Drosophila melanogaster: one gene and its partners. The protein of the gene in region 2 purifies or fractionates together with the protein of the main gene of each other region. This does not show direct contact. Each region holds a gene or a part of one and is shown on either strand. Other genes may lie near its edges. The genes, in order: PpV, Tap42, mts and Pp4-19C.

The links.
Region 1: the proteins of Tap42 (region 2) and PpV purify together in Drosophila melanogaster (affinity purification with western blotting, with the first as the bait; one study listed by BioGRID). This does not show direct contact.
Region 3: the proteins of Tap42 (region 2) and mts purify together in Drosophila melanogaster (affinity purification with western blotting; 3 studies listed by BioGRID, with this or other methods). This does not show direct contact.
Region 4: the proteins of Tap42 (region 2) and Pp4-19C purify together in Drosophila melanogaster (affinity purification with western blotting; 2 studies listed by BioGRID, with this or other methods). This does not show direct contact.

The regions. Positions count from the first base shown.
Region 1 is NC_004354.4:6,370,539-6,374,623, reverse strand, and holds PpV (protein phosphatase V), read left to right. Parts: upstream 1-1,708; 5' UTR 1,709-1,807; coding exon 1,808-1,972; intron 1,973-2,060; coding exon 2,061-2,348; intron 2,349-2,436; coding exon 2,437-2,895; 3' UTR 2,896-3,559; downstream 3,560-4,085. UniProt on the Drosophila melanogaster protein: May be involved in controlling cellularization or in regulating transcription of the genes involved in this process.
Region 2 is NT_033779.5:13,366,010-13,369,521, reverse strand, and holds Tap42 (Two A-associated protein of 42kDa), read right to left. Parts: upstream 1,906-3,512; 5' UTR 1,799-1,905; coding exon 1,676-1,798; intron 1,606-1,675; coding exon 586-1,605; 3' UTR 501-585; downstream 1-500. Other genes in the region: CG31855 (uncharacterized protein), read right to left, coding at 1-121; Grx3 (glutaredoxin 3), read right to left, coding at 2,214-2,391, 2,455-2,717, 2,782-2,991; Nnp-1, read left to right, coding at 3,446-3,512.
Region 3 is NT_033779.5:7,825,727-7,833,689, reverse strand, and holds mts (microtubule star), read right to left. Parts: upstream 6,041-7,963; 5' UTR 5,639-6,040; coding exon 5,537-5,638; intron 3,229-5,536; coding exon 2,665-3,228; intron 2,222-2,664; coding exon 2,031-2,221; intron 1,957-2,030; coding exon 1,884-1,956; 3' UTR 114-1,883; downstream 1-113. Other genes in the region: Rack1 (receptor of activated protein kinase C 1), read left to right, coding at 6,521-6,629, 6,709-6,920, 7,354-7,963.
Region 4 is NC_004354.4:20,420,543-20,425,799, reverse strand, and holds Pp4-19C (protein phosphatase 19C), read left to right. Parts: upstream 1-1,797; 5' UTR 1,798-2,154; intron 2,155-2,793; exon of another isoform or gene 2,794-2,847; 5' UTR 2,848-2,947; coding exon 2,948-3,741; intron 3,742-3,805; coding exon 3,806-3,935; 3' UTR 3,936-4,713; downstream 4,714-5,257. Other genes in the region: cactin, read right to left, coding at 1-1,646; Obp19d (Odorant-binding protein 19d), read right to left, coding at 4,944-5,022, 5,087-5,223. UniProt on the Drosophila melanogaster protein: Protein phosphatase that regulates many processes such as microtubule organization at centrosomes. The probable PP4 complex Pp4-19C-PPP4R2r-flfl (PPP4C-PPP4R2-PPP4R3) is required to prevent caspase-induced cell death (in vitro).

The DNA of each region.
Region 1 (4,085 bases), on a different chromosome or scaffold from region 2:
GCTCTCAATGTTTTTTTTTTTTTCCGCTGACTGCACACAGCAGGAAAATATTGAAAATACCATTCAAATAGCCGAAGGTGTAATAATCTTTTTGCGTTTAATTGAGAATACAAAAAAAAAAACTCTGTGAGCCGAGGAATTTGTTAAAATATGAAGTCCAAGACTTTTTTTTTTTTAACCGATTGTTCGAAACTCTAGAATTTTTGGCACCGTGTTTGCAGCAAGATAAAGCCAAGAGGCTGTCCGCTGTCCGTTGTCCTTGTTCCGCCGTCCGTGTCCTTTGCGTCCGTGCAGGGGGCACATAATTATCAGCCACATCAGCCGCAGACGACAGGACTTTGACTTTTAGAGGGCGAGCGGAATTGGCGAAACGTAACGAAACGAAGTAAGAAAACAAGTTTAACTTAATTGTCAACATTGTGCCAGGCGGACACAAACAGCGACATACAGAGCGGCAAGGACAATGGAAGGATGCGAGCGGATTGGGGCCAGCATTGGGGGGGCAGGATGGCTGGATGGCTGAATGGAAAGCACTGGCAAGATGGCCAAAAGAGCACAAAAAGCAGCTGGGAGAACAAGCCCAAGTTGAATACCAAAACGGAAGGGCATAAAGTAACGCCACTAATGATGGAGCACGACATCTTCGCCGGGGGGAGAAAGAGAGAGTAAGAGAGTGAGAGTGATAGAGAGGAACGGAGAGTAGGTGGCAGAAAGAGATGGGTGGCGAGCACAACAGTTTCGATTTGCAAAACTAAAAGATATTGCATTTAATTCGATTCCACAATTAAATGCGAATACAAACAATTAATTCAATTATTTTCTATGAATATATGCTTAGCATCCTAACTTTGAATAAATTGCATATATTTTGTGCTTCGAAACCCGTGAAACGTTCATTTTTTTTTTTTTTTTTACCAATTTCCCTTGATTCGCGAATTGTCACCTTTATGGCACGTTTATTTTCCCAACTTCAGATCCAGCGAATGCGAAAAGTAAATGAAAGAAGCCAACACAATCAAATGGCAGCGTGCTAATGAGACTCTAAACAAGCTGCAGGGCCATTAACCCATGTGCCACCCCGTGCCGAAAAACGCATGCCAGCACGCTTCTCATAACCCTTAACACTTGCTGCCCGGAAAAATGAGCGGAGCTGCAAAACAAACAGCGAACAAGTAGCGTGGCGTGCGATGGCAATAAAATCTAAGAGCGTGATTATTTTCAACAAGCCAAAGAAAATATATATGTATATATATGTAAATGGGTTTGGGTTAAAAAATAAACGGATTTAAAAAGCTTTCATTGCGGACTAATTATGATTTGTGGCGGCTAAAGGCTAATTGCAACTAATTTCGCTTGCCTCCACAAAACCAAAGAAAACAATACAGAAAAACACAAAATCGACCGCCAAAGTAATTAAATATTTTGAATTTGAATTCAAATGTGTTAGCTATCGATAACATGTGACATTCTCGCTACGCAGTGTGTACACACCAAGTATACAGTTCTAATAAGAACGTCCCATGCGACTGGTGCTTGCATCGGCTAAACAAAAAATTGATGCACCATTTATCGATGGAAAACAAAAGCAAATAAAATACTCAACAATAGTATTTAAAATAAAAAGAATAGAAGAAACTTTAGATCAATTTTTTAGTACTCTAACCGTGGGCAGCAGTATAACCGTTGCTCGATAACCATTGAACACCAGCCAGTGTGACCGTAGGTGCGCAGATGGACGTGCAACCAATACTTATTTATTAACTTGTTTTAAGGCGATTTACCGTGGATTTCACAGGCAGCGGGCATCATGGGCGACGTGGACAAGTGGATAGAAGACGTGAAGAAATGCAAGTACCTGCCGGAGAACGAGCTGAAGAAGCTATGCGAGATGGTCTGCGATATCCTCCTGGAGGAGACGAACATCCTGCCCGTGAGCACGCCCGTCACCGTTTGCGGTGACATCCATGGCCAGGTAAGCGGTCATCTCCTCCGTCTTCGTCTCCTACGTCATTGCAATGTCCACTAACGCAATGCCATCGCACTCCACCCCCAAATTGCAGTTCTACGACCTGGAGCAGCTGTTCCGCACTGGAGGCCAGGTGCCGCATACCAACTACATATTCATGGGCGACTTCGTGGACAGGGGCTACTACTCGCTGGAGACATTCACCAGACTGCTCACGCTGAAGGCGCGCTATCCCAGCCGGATCACCCTGCTGCGCGGCAACCACGAAACGCGGCAGATCACCAAGGTGTACGGATTCTTTGACGAGTGCTTCAGCAAGTACGGCAATGCCAATGGCTGGAAATACTGCTGCAAGGTCTTCGATTTGCTTACCATCGCTGCCGTGAGTTGAACTATGGGATACTTCATGTGGACAACACCCTTTTAATCATTTACATATATGTTTACCCCACTGCCCCTAATGTACACAGATCATCGACGAGGAGGTGTTGTGCGTGCACGGTGGCCTGAGTCCCGAGATCATTACACTGGACCAGATCAGGACGATCGATCGCAACGGCGAGATACCGTACAAGGGTGCCTTCTGCGATCTGGTGTGGTCCGATCCCGAGGACATGGAGTACTGGGGCCAGAGTCCGCGCGGCGCTGGCTGGCTGTTTGGCCACAATGTGACCAAGGACTTTATGGCGATCAATAATCTGAACCTCATATGCCGAGCACATCAGCTGGTCAACGAGGGCATCAAGTATATGTTTGATGGCAAACTGGTGACCGTGTGGTCGGCGCCAAACTATTGCTATCGCTGCGGCAACGTTGCCGCCATTCTTAGCTTCGAAACGGCGGAGAAGCGGCAGACGAAGATCTTCCTGGCTGTTCCGGATGCGGAGCGTGTGATACCCAAGCAGAACACAACGCCCTACTTCCTGTAAAACGTTCTGATGTGATGCGATGTGAAGTGATGCAACGCAATACTATACCACATACCATACCACATACCGATCCAATACGATCCGCCCACTGTTCCGGCATCGTGGCTAATAATCATATACGCTTGTGGAGAGCAGAGCGGAGTGCAGCCTTCGACTGACTGATCCGTTTCATTTGACCACCCATGAACTCAACGCCTTAAACTCAAAACGTGCGCAACGAGCACCCCAAGCATAGCAAACACTCAGAACAGCAAACACAAGCCACACACACCACACACACACCTGTAACTTGTAATTTTCGTCTCTTTTTTTGTATGGCAAAAACACATATCTAATTCTTAAGAGCACAGTTAAAAAAAAACTTTGTTATTAGTTTCCGGCAAGTCCAAAGAGAGGGGAACACGTGAATTGATTTCTTTAAGTTGTATATCCAAGTATTGTATTTACTGATAACGGATGCTAATGGAAGCAAGAAGTATATAGAGATTCACTTTGTTATTTTGTATTCCAAACCTACATATTTATTTCTGTGAACAAACACAAAAATCATATACTTTGTACATTTTGTATTAGTAATGCTTTGAAGGAAATAAGAATAACTAAGAATAACCCAATTGTGTGATCCCGATCAAAACGATATGATTAAAACAAAAAAGACAATTCGAAATGCGTTGTCCGGTAATCAGTGGGAAAAACCAGGTGTCCCTTATTCCGCTCCCAAAATGTCCATCATCCGTCTCTGTCGTTTTCGCGACACGGCTCCGATATTCAAAGTTCCACTGAAATAATTTCGATTATGAGTTTCTTACATAAATATCATTTATTTCGTTTCGTTTTCGTTCATGAATCATTCTCATTCTCATGCTTTGCAACATCTCAACAATTGTGTTTTCATATATATTGGTTTGCTTTGCCCCAACATTTATTCTAGCGTCCCAACTCAAAAACAAATATGTATAAGTACTAGACTTTCTATTAGGGGCGAAAAAGAGGTAAATAAGTGAGTGACTTTCGCATTCTGGGGTCGGTCATCATCATGTGGCATTCATAATTCCTCGCAACTTGCTTTTCCATGGCACCTGGCCATGCTCACAGTGTTTTGGATACTTCTCTATTTGTATATATATATACGCGTGCGTTTCCGGGTCAACAATTACAAAAAAAAGAAAACTAAATAATCACACTAGCAG
Region 2 (3,512 bases):
CGGTGGGCAGGTAGACGGAGGCACGCTTCTGCGACGTTCGAATTCCATGTTCGTTGCTCAAATGGGTAAAATTGCTCGAATCGTGTATGGGCAGACCCTTGATAAAGTCTCGTACTGACATTCTGCTTTTGGGTTGCTGCAGAGTACGAAAAGTGTTAACACTTGATACTACCACGTATCTGCTGTATTTTAACACACCTCACTTTAATCTTTGTTGATCTATCAATATTTCGAGAGAACTGTCTTCTCTTTTACGTTTTTTGTGTAGCAACTCACAAAAATTTAACTTGTGCTTGAGATTTTTGTTTTTGTTACTGGTGGTGACAATCAGTGCTGCAAAATGCGCGATTACAGCCAAACGCCTACCAATACTGCAACAGTGGAACTATTCTAACTATTTATTTACTGTATATATTGTCAATTCAATAAAAAAGAAAACAATTTTTATTTTATCAATAGCGCATCCCTAGGATTTATAAATAAATTTAGAAACTAGAATTATTTTTTGAATATACTGACTTAAAACCAGTCTTGCGGTTATACCATTTTATTGGGTTTTAAAAAAATACATAAATTTTGAGTTCCTTAACTACGGTTATGACGGTTGCCGTCACCGCGACGCACCACATCCTTGTATTCATCCATGCGCCTCATGCGGTCTATATACTCGGGATCATCCTGCTCCGCCTGTAGCTCCTCAACGGCCTTCTCCTCGTCCTCTTTTTCGTTGGGATCCCGGGCGGCCGCGATGGCCTGTGCCTGATTCATCTTGGCAACCTTCTCCTCATCAGGAAAGATGCCCTCGTCGACGCGCTGCTGGTAGAATTCATCAACAGTCATAATGGGCAAACTGGGGTATCCCAAGCCGAAAACCGCCTTCTGGGTGGCATTACGTGTTATGATGAAGGGCTGCAAGGGCTTTGGCTTAGCGGCCTGCTGATGATGGTGGTGGTGTCCGGGTCCGTGGCTGTGACCATGACCGCGGGAGGTGGACGATGCAGAAGATTGATTTTGATTCGGTGGACGGAACGAATCCACTTCGTTGTCGGATTCGCCACCAGCCAATCGGGCAAGGCGCATCTGGGCCAGCTGCTTCATTACGCCCAATGTTTCTAATTCCTGCTTGGAGTCTATTATACTCTTGTCCAAATACTTGAGGAAAAAGACACGTTTATCCTCATCGTCGACCGTTTTGTTCTTGACTGCATCGCGCATTCTGGCCATATACTCGTCAATCTCCTTCATCCGGCGATACTGGGCTATTTTGTCGTTTCTATTGAAGGCTGCCTCTACCAGCTCGCGCTGCTCGCTTTTTTCCGCTTGGCTATCCGCCTTAGCCACCTGAGATTTGGGCGCTGCACAGAGATCATACTCCTGGCAACGCTGCAGGTGGTCCTTGAAGTAAATCTCGCCCAGCTCTATGGAGTGTGTGTTATTGGGGCTGTTGATCTTAGTGGTAAGCTTGCCCAGAAAGTAAGGGAGCAGCATGAATGGTAGCGATTCCGTGGACACCTCGTCGATCAACTCGTTGGCACTGAACATGCTAACCTGGTTCACAATGACGGTGGCCTGCTCGAAAAGGCCCATTGCAGTCTTCACTTTGTTCTAAACGTTGTGGTAAACGTTCAATGCTGGTTTTTATTACATATATATGAAGATCTTCAATATTACACACCTGAAATTCGCTGCCATTGAAGGGCAGTTCGGTAACTTCTAGCTCGTCGAATATGTTCCAGCCCTTTAGAAAGATGTCCGTCAGCTTTTGGTCCTCTCCGCCAGCGGTATTACCCTCAGCCATTTAAAGATTTGGATATAAGTTTATAGTTAATGGGTATTTTCAATAATATAAATAATATTGCGAAAATAATGTGCAAGATGCCGACGCCGAAACAGCTGTTTACAAAATGAAGGTACGCAAAATACCAGATAAACCAGGGCTGGTGTATAAAAAAGTTCTTACAAATTTCTAGCTATATTTATGTCGTTAAGTTTGTAAACATTTATGGTGACACCATTGAAGCCCGTGTAAGATGTCTTATGGATGACCTATAGCACATTTGCTTTAATACAATTGTTATTAAAAATTTCGATGAATAAAATAATACCAGAATGTAGCAAAAATCCTTTATTAAACCATTAAAAAGTCTAAGGATCTAGCTAAAAATTTGTTTCTGGTTTATGGTGTCTGTAGGAGTAGATGCAATCCGATGGAATTAGCCCTTTAGCGTGGACTCGAGCTCATTGTTCGCCAGCAGTTCCTTAATAATATCGAGTCCGCCGATAAGTTCACCCTTGACGTAAACCTGGGGATATGTGGGCCAGTCGGAGTAGGTTTTCAGGCCTTGACGCACTTCTTCGTCGCCGAGGATGTCAAATGTCTCGTACGGCAAGCTATCGAAGGATATTTTCGTTTATAACTTGAAATCAAATACAACTGATGATCAATTTGCATACTTGGTTTCGTTCACAATGCCGATGAGCTGCTTGGAGAATCCGCAACGCGGTCCATTTCGGTCGCCCTTCATGAATATCATCAGCGGAGCTGTATTGATTAGGGCCTTTAGGCGTTCCTCCAACGTTTGTCCTGTTGCCGCCGCGCTGCTTGCGTTTTCGGCCAACTTTTTGGATTTGGCGCTTATGGCGGCGATGTCTACACCATCGACACGGTCAACGGCGGAGCCCTTGGCGAAGAATATGACTGTGGGCACGGCCTCGATCTGGTGGCATCGCAAATGAATGAGGAACTACTGTTATATTTTCATAAAATAAATACGAGCGTACCTGATGTTTCATGGAAATCTCGGGAAATTGTTCAGCGTTTAGGCTGATGAACTGCAGTTTTTCGCCAGTAATCTTGGCCAGCTCCTCCAGCGCGTCTTTCACCTGACCGCATTGCTCTGCCCATTCGGCGGCGAATAGAGCTACGGTCGTCTTATCCGCATTAATGTACTTCTGGTACTCCTCGGCAGCCGACACGTTCACCACGGGCATGATTTCTTTGAATTATTTAACTAAATTTGCTGGACAAGCAAAATTTACAAAAAGCAGACCGAATTATCAGCTGTGGAAGAGAGTTGCCACTTTCCGTAAAGAAGTCAGCGCTGGTAGCTATAAAATAACAACCTATAAATGGCTAAAAATATATAAAATTGTATTAAAATGTATAAAGCAAGCGTTTCATGAAGTATCAAAACTAGCAATTTAAATATTCTTTTTATTATTCTTTTTTTCTTTATTTTATTCTTTGAAAATTATTTCATTAGCTTGAGTTTTTGTTGTCATTTTCAGTACAGCTCATGCATTTAGAGCTGTTGGACGAAATTTGGAGAAAATGTCGTTTCAACATCTGGCAACATCGAACGGCAACACGTGCGGTCGTGCCGTACCGTATTCAATATACACAGCTCACTTATTTTTCGCAACTAAAAGTTGAATTAGCCGGATAATGGTGACGCGCAAGAAGCCAGTTAAGCGCAACGCCGAGGCGGCCGAAATCCAGGTCGAGCAGGAGG
Region 3 (7,963 bases), 5.5 Mb from region 2:
GGGCATGATAGATGACAAGTCTCGGTAGGTGTACGTATGGGTATGGTTGTTTGCTCGCCAAGTTCTTGGGCACTTGAGAGTCCCCATCCTCGATCCAGCATGTTCTCAAATTTAGATTTTCATCCAGACCAAAACTCATGTGGATACAGTGCCAACTGGCGGTGCACGAACTGCTTATCTCAGAATAATCCATATATTCTAGGGTTTCTACTATTGCCAAATGTTTATTATTTATATATCGTTTACTTTCTTGCTCTTAATATACTTTTCATTCGTATGCTAAAGTTAAATAACCAACTAAATTATCAGGAACATCAAATCCAATCGAAATAGTTTCCAAAATACTTTGTAAACAGAAACAATAGAGAGCGACCACTGTACATGACTTTTGACAGTTCGTGTGGGCGGCTGCTAAAATATGCAAAAATTTATACAAAGTTGGCAAGATTTTTGCTTTCGCTTTCGCTGGGAATCAAAGGCAGCCCGGCTCTGATTTAGATTTTGACTTGGGCATCATTGGTTGGCTGGCACCACGACCTCCGTCCCTTCTATCTGCCCTCTGCCATCCATCCATATATCACCTCCCCCACACCCATATCGCCTCCTTTGTGGTCTCAATTAGGTGGCCCGTTTGAGGCTCGACTTCCGCTCGTCGTGGTGGCCTCGTGTTAACTTGGCCATGTTCGCATACACACTACCAAAGGAGCCCGCAGGCCAAAAGGGAGCGTCATTGCCAGAACGAAAAACCAAAATCGTTCGCATGGGTCTCTCTTAAAGGACTTTCTCCCTTGAACGCGCGCTCTTCGATGGCTCTCTTCGTCGGCAGGTGGGAATTGTTTGTTTGTTTTTTTTTTCTTTCTTTTATTATTATTAAAGTTACATATGAACTTAATTGATAATGAATTTTTTTTAATCATTTTTCTTTGCTTTTTTGTTTGTTTTTTAATAGTTTTATTCGCTTTTTTTTATTTAATTTTAATCAGTAATATTAAATTTGTTGTATTTCCTTATTTTCTTTTTTATAATTTTTGTTTTTATATAAATCGCTGGCCCGCCCCGCGCTTCCCCCATCGCAATGGCGTTCGCTGCTGCTCCTGCCACATACTGCTCCTACTTTTTTGCTGCTGCTTCATCGTTATCTTCCTGCTTTGTCGGTCGTGGGTCGTCTGCTTCTGCTTCTGCTGCTGCTACCGCTGCTGCTTGCTTATGCTGCTACGTCCTGGCGTTCGTCCTTTCGTCCCGTTTAGTCCTTTGTCAGCCCCTTCCGCCCACACACACATCACGTCATAATCCATGAGTCCATCCATCCATCACTCCTGCTCCCTGGCTTTCTGCTGCGACGCTTAGTTCGTTATTTTTATAAATTAACAAATTTAGCTAAGTAGTTGTAGTTCTTCTTGTTGCTTGCGGTTTTGTTGCTTGGTTTCTGGGTTGGTTGGTAGGTTCGATTGGATTGTATCATTTCTGTATACTGCTTCTCCTTCTGCTCCTCCCCTTTATCTTTGATATAAATTTTCTGCCTGCCGCCCCCGCTGGCGACATTTCCGGTTTTTTCCTTTTCTTTTAAACTGTGGCCAACAACAATAACTGTTCAATGCATTTTTGTGTTCTCGACTGTTATGGTTACTTTTTTTTTCTTTGTTTATACAATATCTCTTCCACTGCTCTCTGTTTAAAACGACCTCCACAAAACAAATGCATCGAGGTTTTTAGTTTTGGGTTGTTTTTTATGGTAGTTTTTTTTTCGACAGCACTTGCCATTTTGTTTATTTTGTTGCTGCTGGTTGGATTTGTATATATTATATATTGTTTCGGTTCTTCTTGTTGTTATAATGCGATGTAATATGTGTAAATGTAAGCTGCGTAGGTGCGAGCAATCCAGCTTAAAGGAAATAATCGGGTGTTCTTCGCGTAACATGAGGCTCCCCGCGCCTGGGTGCTGGATCAAATTGTAGGCTAAAATAAATGCAAACGATTAGATTAGTCAGACATGCCGCATTTAAAGGCAGCTCAAGCGAATTGCCACTCACAATGAAAATTTAAGTGAATCATCCAGTTCCATAAGAGCCGCTTGGTTGCCACAGCGGTAGCAATAGTTTGGCGCTGAGAATATTGTGACCACATTGCGATCGTGACACCAGTTGTAGCCCTCCATCACCAGCTGATGGGCGCGCGACACCAGTGTCAGGCCGTTTGTGTTGTTAAAGGTTTCCGAAATATCCTTCAAATAAAATGGAAATATTAGTAAAAATGCTTATAGAAGTAATTGGCTCTTTCTCAATGAAATTCGATTTGGATAGTTAAAATTTGTTTTGTAGTTGACGGTTTGAAATGTCAAAACAATTTATAACGAAAGCTCTTTCCATTGATTGCGTTATCAGTTGGGCCTATATCAGCAGTAGACTTCGATTACTGATTATTGATTTTCATCAAGTGCATGCCCCGATAAAATTTCCTATTAAGATCAATAAAAAATTTATCTAGAATATATTTGCATGCTTTTGAGCAGACAATTTTTGTTCAGCTTAGTTTTAATCGGGTCTTCAGATGTATTTCACTTAACAATTTTACAATGTGATTAAAGAATAAATTTCCAAGTATCCAAGCTAGGCAAATCAGCTCCGAATTTTATTGAGAAATAGCCAACATGCAGACAACACTCACCTGGCCAAAGGTGTAACCGGCGCCACGAGGCGAGATTCCCCAGCCACCCCTGTCATCGGGATCGGACCAGAGCAGATCGCACATGGGACCCTCGTGCGGAACCTCCTGCAAGCGATCGAGGGCCCGAATGTGATCCAGACTGTCGATCGAGGGACTGAGGCCTCCGTGCAGGCAGAAGATCTGCCCGTCGACGAGTGCCGTCAGTGGCAAGTAGTCGAACAGATCCGTGAAGTACTTCCAAACGTTGGCATTGCCATACTTGCGCAGGCACTCGTCGTAGAAGCCGTACACCTGTGTGATCTGGCGCGACTCGTGGTTACCGCGCAGGATGGTGATGCGCTCGCGATAGCGAACCTTCAGGGCCACCAGAAGGGTCACGGTCTCCACGGAGTAGTATCCACGGTCCACGTAGTCGCCCATGAACAGGTAGTTGGTGTCCGGAGACTTGCCGCCTATCCGGAAGAGCTCCATGAGGTCGTGAAACTGACCGTGGACATCTCCGCACACTGTCACCGGGCATTTTACCTCCTGCACATTGGACTCCTTGGAGAGAATCTCCTTGGCCTGTAAAGAAATGGAAACAGTAGACCAATCAGCAATTTATTTATGGATATTTTTAGGGAGATACGTTTTAATGTTACCTCCCTATTCGAATAACCGAATAAACAACTTTGAATACCAATATTAAAATACTGATTAACATAATCTAGCCCAAATCGTTTCCAGGGTCAGAAAAGATAAATAAAACGATTAGTACTTTGTACATTATTCACTATACTTAATGACTCAACGCCAACACTCAAAGTGTACTCTAAAAATAGCTTGTAACTAGAAGAGAAATTAAAACAAATATATTGGATAAGTGCATGCGTTTTTTTACAGAGAATCGAGGGAAATAAATATCACTTGTTCTCTTTAAACATCCCACAAGAAATTTTAATGGCATCAAAACTCAATCTCTTGGGTAATTCTGAAAATAGCTTCCCGCAAAACCCTATAAAACTGTGTACCTAAACATTGCTACTTCCTATAAGAAAAACATAAACATGTAGCAAAATTTCCGGAAATTACAAAACATTTTTGTTACGTTTGTGTGTAAATAGTTAACCAAATGAAAGTAATATGGAAACTTTGATGTTCTATTTTTTCACCTGCCATAATTCGGTGAATGGTGAATGACATGACAGAATATCTGCGAAACAGAAAGTACTGAGAAAACCGAAAGTGATCCGCATGTGCGGATGATAAAACCTTGTCAAAGGCCAAGGTTATCCGTCAAGATTTGGTCAACAAGCGAAGAACCTCAACTATTTTCTCATCGAATTTTGCGTCAGTTGCAAACAAGTTTAAGTTGCTAATATAAGCTGTATGAAAATCAAAACAAAGGAAGCAAAGCTTTTTAATAAGTTGAGATAAGATGAACGTACGATAAAAAGTTGTCCGTATAAACATAACAAATTCACGATTCTGGAAAGTATTCTATCGTCTTTAGTAAAATAAAATATGAAGGTCGATTCAAAAATTCCCGATGGGCGTCAATATACAGCATCAAAAAAACCGGTTTTTACAAACATAAATGTGCCAAAATGAGCAAACAAAAATTGCACATTTATTTTGACCATTCCGCCGTGTTCTTTGCGAATTCTTATATTTATCAGCTGACGAAATGGGACATGACAACAAGTTCCGGGGGTAGAATCCGGCGGCGCAAATGAGCGATTTGTGCGTGAGCCAATTAGATTTTTTGCCATATGCACAGCATTACCTTGGAGGCTGTTGCTTCCGCTTGGCCAGAAATCGAAAAAAAAAAAAAAAGAAAAATAATTTTTGAACTCATGACGAGGCCAGCGCACCCATACAGATGCATGCACAAACACTGATGCAGCTTGTGCTCTCTCCGCGTACTCTCCGCTTTTCTTTTCGTAGCAACGGGAAGGATGGAGAGAGGCCGCAGAAGACGCACCCGAGAAGAGCGAAGAACGTTCTTCTCGGAGGGAGAACGGAGATTCAAGATTCTAATGGGAACACTGACAAATATTTGGGTGACGCAAACATAACCCCACTTACTCCTAAATCAATGAATCGTTATCTGTTCACCCTCTCTTTTTCTCTCCCTCTCTTGCACTCTTTTTGCTTGTCTGTTTGTTTGTGTGCGCGACGCGCCTGATGAACGGTAAAATCGGCAAATTAAAAACAATTGATATCAAAAGTGTTTAATTGAACATGGTTGGTCATAAAAAAAGGAACACAAACACCAATGCAAGTGCATTATTCTAGAATTGAGATACGACGGTACATAGATACATATTCTAGGGGCGCGCACACACCGACGCACAAAAACATTAAGTAATATTTACTCAGCAACGACAAAACGCGCATGAGGTTGCACGGAGCGGGGGTGCTCAGTTTCCGGTGGACACAATAACAACAACATTAAACACGCACAATGCACTTTAGTTAAACAATCAAATTGTACAATAATACAAAAAGAAATATCTCTTTTTGCCCAGGTTTAGCCCATTAGACCAAAGCGCTGTTCTAGCTGTCGCATTCACGCACGCACTTGCCCGTCCCGTTGTCCCGCTCGCACTTGTGCGCGGCAATGCGGCGCTTGGCTGTTGGAATTTACCAATATTCCAATATGGCGACGCAAGCCGCCGCTACTGTGCGAGCAAGAGGGCACGACATGAATCATGCTCTCGCGCTCTCCGCTCAGCGCCTCTCCCCATTGGAAAGAGCGAGAGGGCCAGAGACACGCAGCGTTGGAGCACCATTTGCAAAAAAAAATCGCTCGCTCGCATGCAATGACGAAAATTATTTTTATAACATCTCCTAATTCGCATGGGGAAAATGGGCAAGGACCGGGCCTTACCTTGTCGCAGAGGGTGCGAACTTGTGTCTCTGTCAACTGATTGCATTCGTTCAACTGCTCAATCCATTGATCAAGATCTTTTGTTGTTGCTTTATCCTCCATCGCAGTTGTGGTGGAAGAAAAAGTCTCGTCAATCTTTGTCGATTCAATTTTGACGGCTTTTATTATAACTCAGGGGTGCAGGAAAATTAGCAACTACTGTTGCGTTCGATTGCCAACCGCGTATTCACTCGTTTATCTCCACACAATTGCCAATCGAATCAACTCGATTTGGGCGATTTTCTTCGTATTTTTTGTTCACAAAAGAGACGACGACACGATATACGAAGGGAAAGACTGCCCTCGGTGTGACCGATTGCCGCGAAACGCTTAAGAACGCGCTGTGTGTGTGTGTATCGATTAGCGATGCATGCTTGACATTTCTACAAAAATACCGACTAAAACTTGTGGATGGTATCCTTACTATTTGGCCAACAGTTACCAAGTAAAACTAGAAAATAAAGTGGGATCAACGCTCACCGTTTTTTTTACATTATTACGTGATAGTGACAAAATAAAAGTATGTACATAGGCATTTGGGCAACAAGATATTGGGATTGTTTTAAAATCCTTTAGTAGTCTTTTCATAGATGTGCATTAGCGTCGATTATTTCTTAAATAATAGCACAATTTGTTTTAAAACTAAACTTCAATATTTCTGGGGTTCTTTAGATATAATAATATTAATACTTGGTGTAAAAGTATTTATTTTTTTTATATATATTTTAAAGTTTTTGATATTATTATTTGACGTTACATTTTACACGTATTATTTGTAACAGAAAATTCAAACTATCGATAGTTTTGTCCTGTCCAACACTGAACGCTCGCTGACAGTTGGCATCTTAGCGAGCACTGGAACCGGAACTGCCTCTTTTTCTGCCAGCTTGCAGCGCCTTTGGACGTGTTTCCTTCGCGCTCCGTAGCAAATAATATAAACTCAAGATGTCCGAGACCCTGCAATTGCGCGGTACCCTCATTGGCCACAATGGATGGGTCACCCAGATCGCCACCAACCCCAAGGATCCCGACACCATAATTTCGGCCTCCCGTGGTAAGTAATCGCCATTGAAATTCTTCGGATTTATCTGGTAGCACGTGCGTATATTAATGGCCACCATCTCGATTCGCAGACAAGACCCTGATCGTGTGGAAGCTGACCCGCGACGAGGACACCAACTACGGCTACCCCCAGAAGCGTCTCTACGGACACTCGCACTTCATCAGCGACGTGGTGCTCTCCTCCGATGGCAACTACGCCCTGTCCGGATCCTGGGATCAGACCCTTCGCCTGTGGGATTTGGCCGCCGGCAAGACCACCCGTCGCTTCGAGGGACACACTAAGGTGGGATAAGATTCCAATTGCATTTAGTTCGTTTAGGGAACTGAGATTTTGAACCGATCTGTACCGGCAAAAGGCTAAATGTAAGGTTAGGAGTGAGGTTAGGCCCGCCTTTGCCGCGTACAAATCGAAAAAATATATATTGCGCCTATGCGAGGCAGAATTACTGGTTGACATCTGTACGACGTACGCTTCACCCTTCGCTCGAGTCTCGGCTATAAATTGCTTGAAGCTCCATCGTAAGTAGGCAAACAATCTCTGATACCCATTGATTCCTAATTAGTTGCAAGAAACCCATCTGGATTCCGTTCACTGACTAATTGAGTTGGGACTATGCCCATTCAGTTGGTCAGTGAAATATCCAGTAAATATATTATTTTTATGAAAACCATACCAATACCATTAGCTAATCGTCAAATGCTTGTTCGCTTTCTAGGACGTTTTGTCGGTTGCCTTCTCGGCCGATAACCGTCAGATCGTGTCCGGCTCTCGGGACAAGACCATCAAGCTGTGGAACACCCTGGCTGAGTGCAAGTTCACCATCCAGGAGGATGGCCACACCGACTGGGTGTCGTGCGTGCGCTTCTCGCCCAACCACTCCAACCCGATCATCGTGTCCTGCGGCTGGGATCGCACCGTCAAGGTCTGGAACTTGGCTAACTGCAAGTTGAAGAACAACCACCACGGCCACAACGGCTACCTGAACACGGTGACCGTCTCGCCCGATGGCTCCCTGTGCACCTCAGGTGGCAAGGACTCCAAGGCCCTGCTGTGGGACCTCAATGACGGCAAGAACCTGTACACTCTGGAGCACAACGACATCATCAACGCCCTGTGCTTCTCGCCCAACCGCTACTGGCTGTGCGTGGCCTACGGACCCTCGATCAAGATCTGGGATCTGGCATGCAAGAAGACCGTTGAGGAGCTGCGCCCCGAGGTCGTTTCGCCCACGTCGAAGGCCGATCAGCCCCAGTGCCTGTCCCTGGCCTGGTCCACCGACGGCCAGACTCTGTTCGCCGGCTACTCCGACAACACCATCCGCGTCT
Region 4 (5,257 bases), on a different chromosome or scaffold from region 2:
AGCAGACGCTGTCTCTGTGTTCGCCGCTCGTCGTCCTCCTCCTCGTAGAGAAGTCCTTCTGCCTCCGGTTCGTCGACGTCTTCGTTTTGCGCTCGTCTGCCGGTGAAGTCCTCTTCGCGTATATAGCGCGGGCTGTAGTTCCCTGCCTGGTAAAGACGCACTGTTTTACGCAGCTCATTCAGGGGATCCTCCTCGTCTTCGGGTGAGCCCTCCTCAACCTCCGGGTCCTCTGCGTCCTGGGTTTCCATCTCCTCTTCCTTGACTTGTGGGGCCACCTTCTCTTGCAACGTCTCATTATCGTTTTCTCGCTTGAGCAGCGACAGCTTCTCGCGCAATAAGGCTTGATGGCGATCTCGCAGTCGAGCTCTGGCCATGTGTGCCTTGAGTTGCGAGAGCAGGCTTTCCCAGTAGCTAATGTCGACGCCATCCGCTCGCCCACTGATCTTGGCCTCGATGCGGTGCCGCATCTCCTCCAGCTGCTGAGCATTCTTCCCCCTAAAAATATCGGCCACATCCTTTACCACCGCCTGGTGGATGCCATCCCGGCGTTGATTGAGCGAACTATTCTCCGCCTCCAGTTTCTGTTGGCGCTGCAGTTCATCCTGCACAATGGTGATCATATCGTTCCAGAAATCGATGTGCTTGCCCTGCTCCAGCTCTTCGTATACCTTAATGTCGACCAGCAGGTCCTCCAGTTCTTCCACGGGCAGGCCGTTTAGCAGCACATAGGGCTCGTGCATCTGCATCTCGAGGCACTCTTCGAGCGGCTCATTCCCAGCGGCCACATATTGGGCGAGAAGATCGATGGGCTTGGCACGTCCATCTCGGATCCGGATTTCACTGCGCAAGCGTGCCTGCTCTAAGTGAAACTGATCTTCCTGTCGCTGCCACTCGCGGAACTGCACCGCCTCCTTGGCGCGCTGCTGCATCATAAGATCATCCTCGCGCACCTGCCGCTCCAGCTCCCTCTCCTGACGCCGTTTCTTGACCTTCTCCAGCTCCCTGCGATTTTCCAACTGCTTTTGCAGAGACAGTACCTCTACGGTTTTGGTGGAGAGATTTGATAGTCCCTCTACCTCCAGCTTTTTGCCCCAGTGGAAGGTGGAGGTGAGATTGGAGTCCCCGAACGGGTTGTCTTCGTTGGAGTACGTCTGGTACTCGTTGTCCCAGCCCATTCGTTCGCGACGCCGCTGCTCCTTGGCCTGCTTTTCGCGCAGGCGACGGGCGCGCTTCTCCTCGGGCGTTTCATGGGCCTTCAGCTCCTCCTTTTTACGCTGACGATCCTTCTGCTCGACGAGGCGACGGGCTTCCAGCGTCTGGAGAAGCTTCATCGGGCTTTTTACCAGCGGCGAACGAGGGGCACCGGGCACCGAGCTGGACGTCGAACTCGACGGGGATGAGCTGGAGGAAGAGGACCGGCGTCTCCGGCTTTTGTGCTCCCGCTTCTTGTCCCTGCTTTTGTCCTTTTCCCTTTCCCTGCGCTGGTCACGTTCCTTGTCTCTGTGATCTCTGTGGTCACGATCCTTTTCCCGCTCGCGTTCACGATCCCGATCCCTGTTCCTGCTGCTCCTCGGATCCGGACTGCGATGATCCCGCCTCTCCCGACTGCGGCTGCGATGCCGGTGCTTGGATTTCTCCTTGGGCATCTTTTTTAATGAGTTTTTCGGGATAAAACTTGTGAAATAAAATATAAACAATGCTAGCGTTGCCAGATGGAGAAAACCAACCCAGATAGCCACTAATAATTGCAAAAGTGCTATCGATATAAGCATTATAACATTAACACATCTCCCTCTTGCCGATAAGTCGATTTATTTTTCCAAGGGTTAGTTTTTACAAACTTTAAATTTTAAAATTTCGGCTGCAGCGTATTATAAATACACAAAAATAAATAATTTATCGATGGAATCCTTGGTGCAGTGTAAAAGGCTTTTTAGGGTCTTCGTGGTAATGCCCACTATCGAAACTGAAGACTCGATGTGTCATTGCAAGTGCCATTACTCAATATATCGATACAAACGCAAGTAGCCAATCCAGCTCTTCGCAGAAACCCGGTTGGCAAAAACGTTTATGTGCATTTTTTGTATTCAATCGCCAACACGAGAGCCGAGCTACCAGCAAAAGGATTGTCCAGATAGCCCGCCACTGCGCTGAGTAAGTAGTGATTCTGGAAAAGTGTCGGGGAAGACAGGAAAAACACGGCAGACGGTGAAAATCGCGCGCGGCAAAAAGGCCAGCGACAAGCCAGACGCACACACACACGCGAGCATCCGCACAAAGCCGACGCACACAGACGCATGCAGGCGAACTCAAAAACCGAAACACAAACAAAAGGATGGTTATTAGTCGACTATTAGTTACCTTACTTCCAGTTCAGCAGCAACTGAAAATCTGAACTAATCTCTAATCCAGAAATTCTGGATTTAAAACAAATCCAACCCTATCCACTGTCAAATACACGTTTCGTATTTGAAAGAAATGTGTATGCATTCACTTAAAACACAGCCATCTAAAACAGCTAAAAGAAGTTATATCGAGAATATAGCCTCTTTTCTCGTTGGTTGGCTTTTCATTGCGAAATAGCCTCATGGACTATCTCAACAAGTGGAATAGCTGGGAACGCGAATGTGTGTGTTTATATTATTTGCCCAATCCGTAAATATAGTTGAATCGTCTTGATTCTTAGATGTGGGGGATGCAGCTATACAGATGCACTTTATGGCCTCTAAAACGCTAGACTTGCTGTGCACGACTAGAGTAGTACCCTATCCTATCACTCAAGCGACCAAAAATTTATAGTATTTCTCTTATGCAACCTTGTGGCTACCTGAAAACCACCCGCGCCAGTTTGGTGAACGACTAACAACGCTGTCCCCGCCCTGTCAACGCCTGCAGTCCGATTCACCGCTTCCCCGTCGCCTCGGCTGCCGCCATCCTCCGGGTGAAGATGTCCGACTACAGCGACCTGGACCGACAGATCGAGCAACTGAAGCGCTGCGAGATCATCAAGGAGAACGAGGTGAAGGCCCTGTGCGCCAAAGCCCGCGAGATCCTGGTGGAGGAGGGCAACGTGCAGCGTGTGGACTCGCCAGTGACCGTGTGCGGCGACATCCACGGTCAGTTCTACGACCTGAAGGAGCTGTTCAAGGTTGGCGGCGATGTGCCCGAGAAGAACTACCTGTTTATGGGCGATTTCGTGGACCGCGGCTACTATAGTGTGGAGACGTTTCTGCTGCTGTTGGCGCTGAAGGTGCGCTATCCGGACCGAATCACGCTGATCCGGGGCAACCATGAGTCGCGCCAAATCACACAGGTCTACGGCTTTTACGATGAGTGCCTGCGCAAGTACGGATCGACGGCCGTGTGGCGGTACTGCACGGAGATCTTTGACTACCTCAGCCTTTCGGCGATCATCGACGGCAAAATATTCTGCGTGCACGGCGGGCTGTCGCCGTCCATCCAGTACCTCGACCAGATTCGCAGCATCGACCGGAAGCAGGAGGTGCCGCACGACGGGCCCATGTGCGACCTGCTTTGGAGCGATCCGGAGGACCAGACTGGCTGGGGCGTGTCGCCGCGCGGCGCTGGCTATCTCTTTGGCTCGGACGTGGTCTCCCAGTTCAACCGCACGAACGATATCGACATGATTTGCCGTGCACACCAGTTGGTAATGGAGGGCTTCAAGTGGCACTTCAACGAAACCGTCCTGACCGTCTGGTCGGCACCCAATTACTGCTATCGGTGAGTCAGCCTCCTGTGCAATTTCGAACTTGTGTTGTTAACTCTGGAATCTCTCCACATGCAGCTGCGGCAATGTAGCTGCCATCCTGGAGCTGAATGAGTACCTGCACCGCGACTTCGTCATCTTTGAGGCAGCTCCGCAAGAGAGTCGCGGCATTCCCTCGAAGAAGCCTCAGGCGGACTACTTTCTCTAAGACGCTTCCGTTCCTGACAATCCGGTGGAACGGAGTCGGCACAGGATGCGGGTGCCGACTGGTAGCTTACATAAATCATCTAGGGAATAGAAATAGAAACTGCCAGCCTGCAAAAGCGAAGCGAACGCGAATAGCAACTGATGGTGTAAAACAAAAAATATGTAACATAAACGTAAGCTAGGGTAGAGCTGCCGGACACAGGTCCACGTTCAGTTAGACTTATTTGCTTTTTTGGTTCAACTAAGATATTTAAATTTTTTTTACCATCTGTTTACCTCTACCTGTGTTTAATCAGGCTATTTGCGCGATCTTTTAATGGCTGTTTTCAAAACATGTAGAGATCAGCCATGCAGATCGCGTATGACCTGTGCACCTCATCTAGCTACTAACTAATAGGTTTAATGACCATAGCCCAAGACCCTGAGAATTCGCCTTGCGTAGACGGACCGCAATCGGAGCCGCCGTCTTCTCGACACGAATTCCCTGGGCTTGGGCAGCATACTATACTAGGAGCCCAAGTTGAGCAAATAGATATTTTTACCGACAGATTGCGTTAAGTCGGCTAAGCTAGGACATATTTAGGGGAGCCGAGAGCGAACGCGCATCCCTGGCTGGGTCCCTTCTCCGCAGGATATCACCTGGAGAAACCCAGGTACGAAGAACATCGTGCATTAATAAATAGTGAGTAAGAATCTTTTAAATATGCCCCAGATTGGGAGATGATATACAAAAAAATGTACTTGTATTTATAATAATAAAGATTGTAATATAATCGTCGAAATTGAGCAAGAATTTTTTATTAGTAAATTATGGGTCCCGAGGAGTCTTGGAGGATAACCACACCCATACGAATCCCCCTTCACAATCCAACAAACAATCAAGCCTGCAGTTTCTCAGTTTATCAAGTACTTAATTCATAGTATACACATAAAAAAAAAAGATGGTTATATTCCAGAAGGGCGCTTGTGATACAGTAACGGGGGGTCGTCATGGGTCTCAAATCTGTTCTCAGTGCTCCTCCAGCTCGAGTCCATGCTCCTTCATTTGCTCGTAAATGCATTCCTCGTAGGCGAAGGCAGCGTCGCAACTGAAAATGGCAGCATGATTATAGTCCGGATTTGAGCCAACAGCTTCCGGCGAGCACTACTCACTGATCCTCGGGTGTCTCGATGGCCTCGCACTTGGCCACCACCTCGGCGGGAGCGTCTTCCTTCTCTGCATCGTGCTTGCTCATGACCTTGACCAACTCGATGGCGTGTTCCTTGTTCAGCTTACCGGATTCATCCATCTGCAATGGGAGGGAGAATGGAATGGGTGGTGGT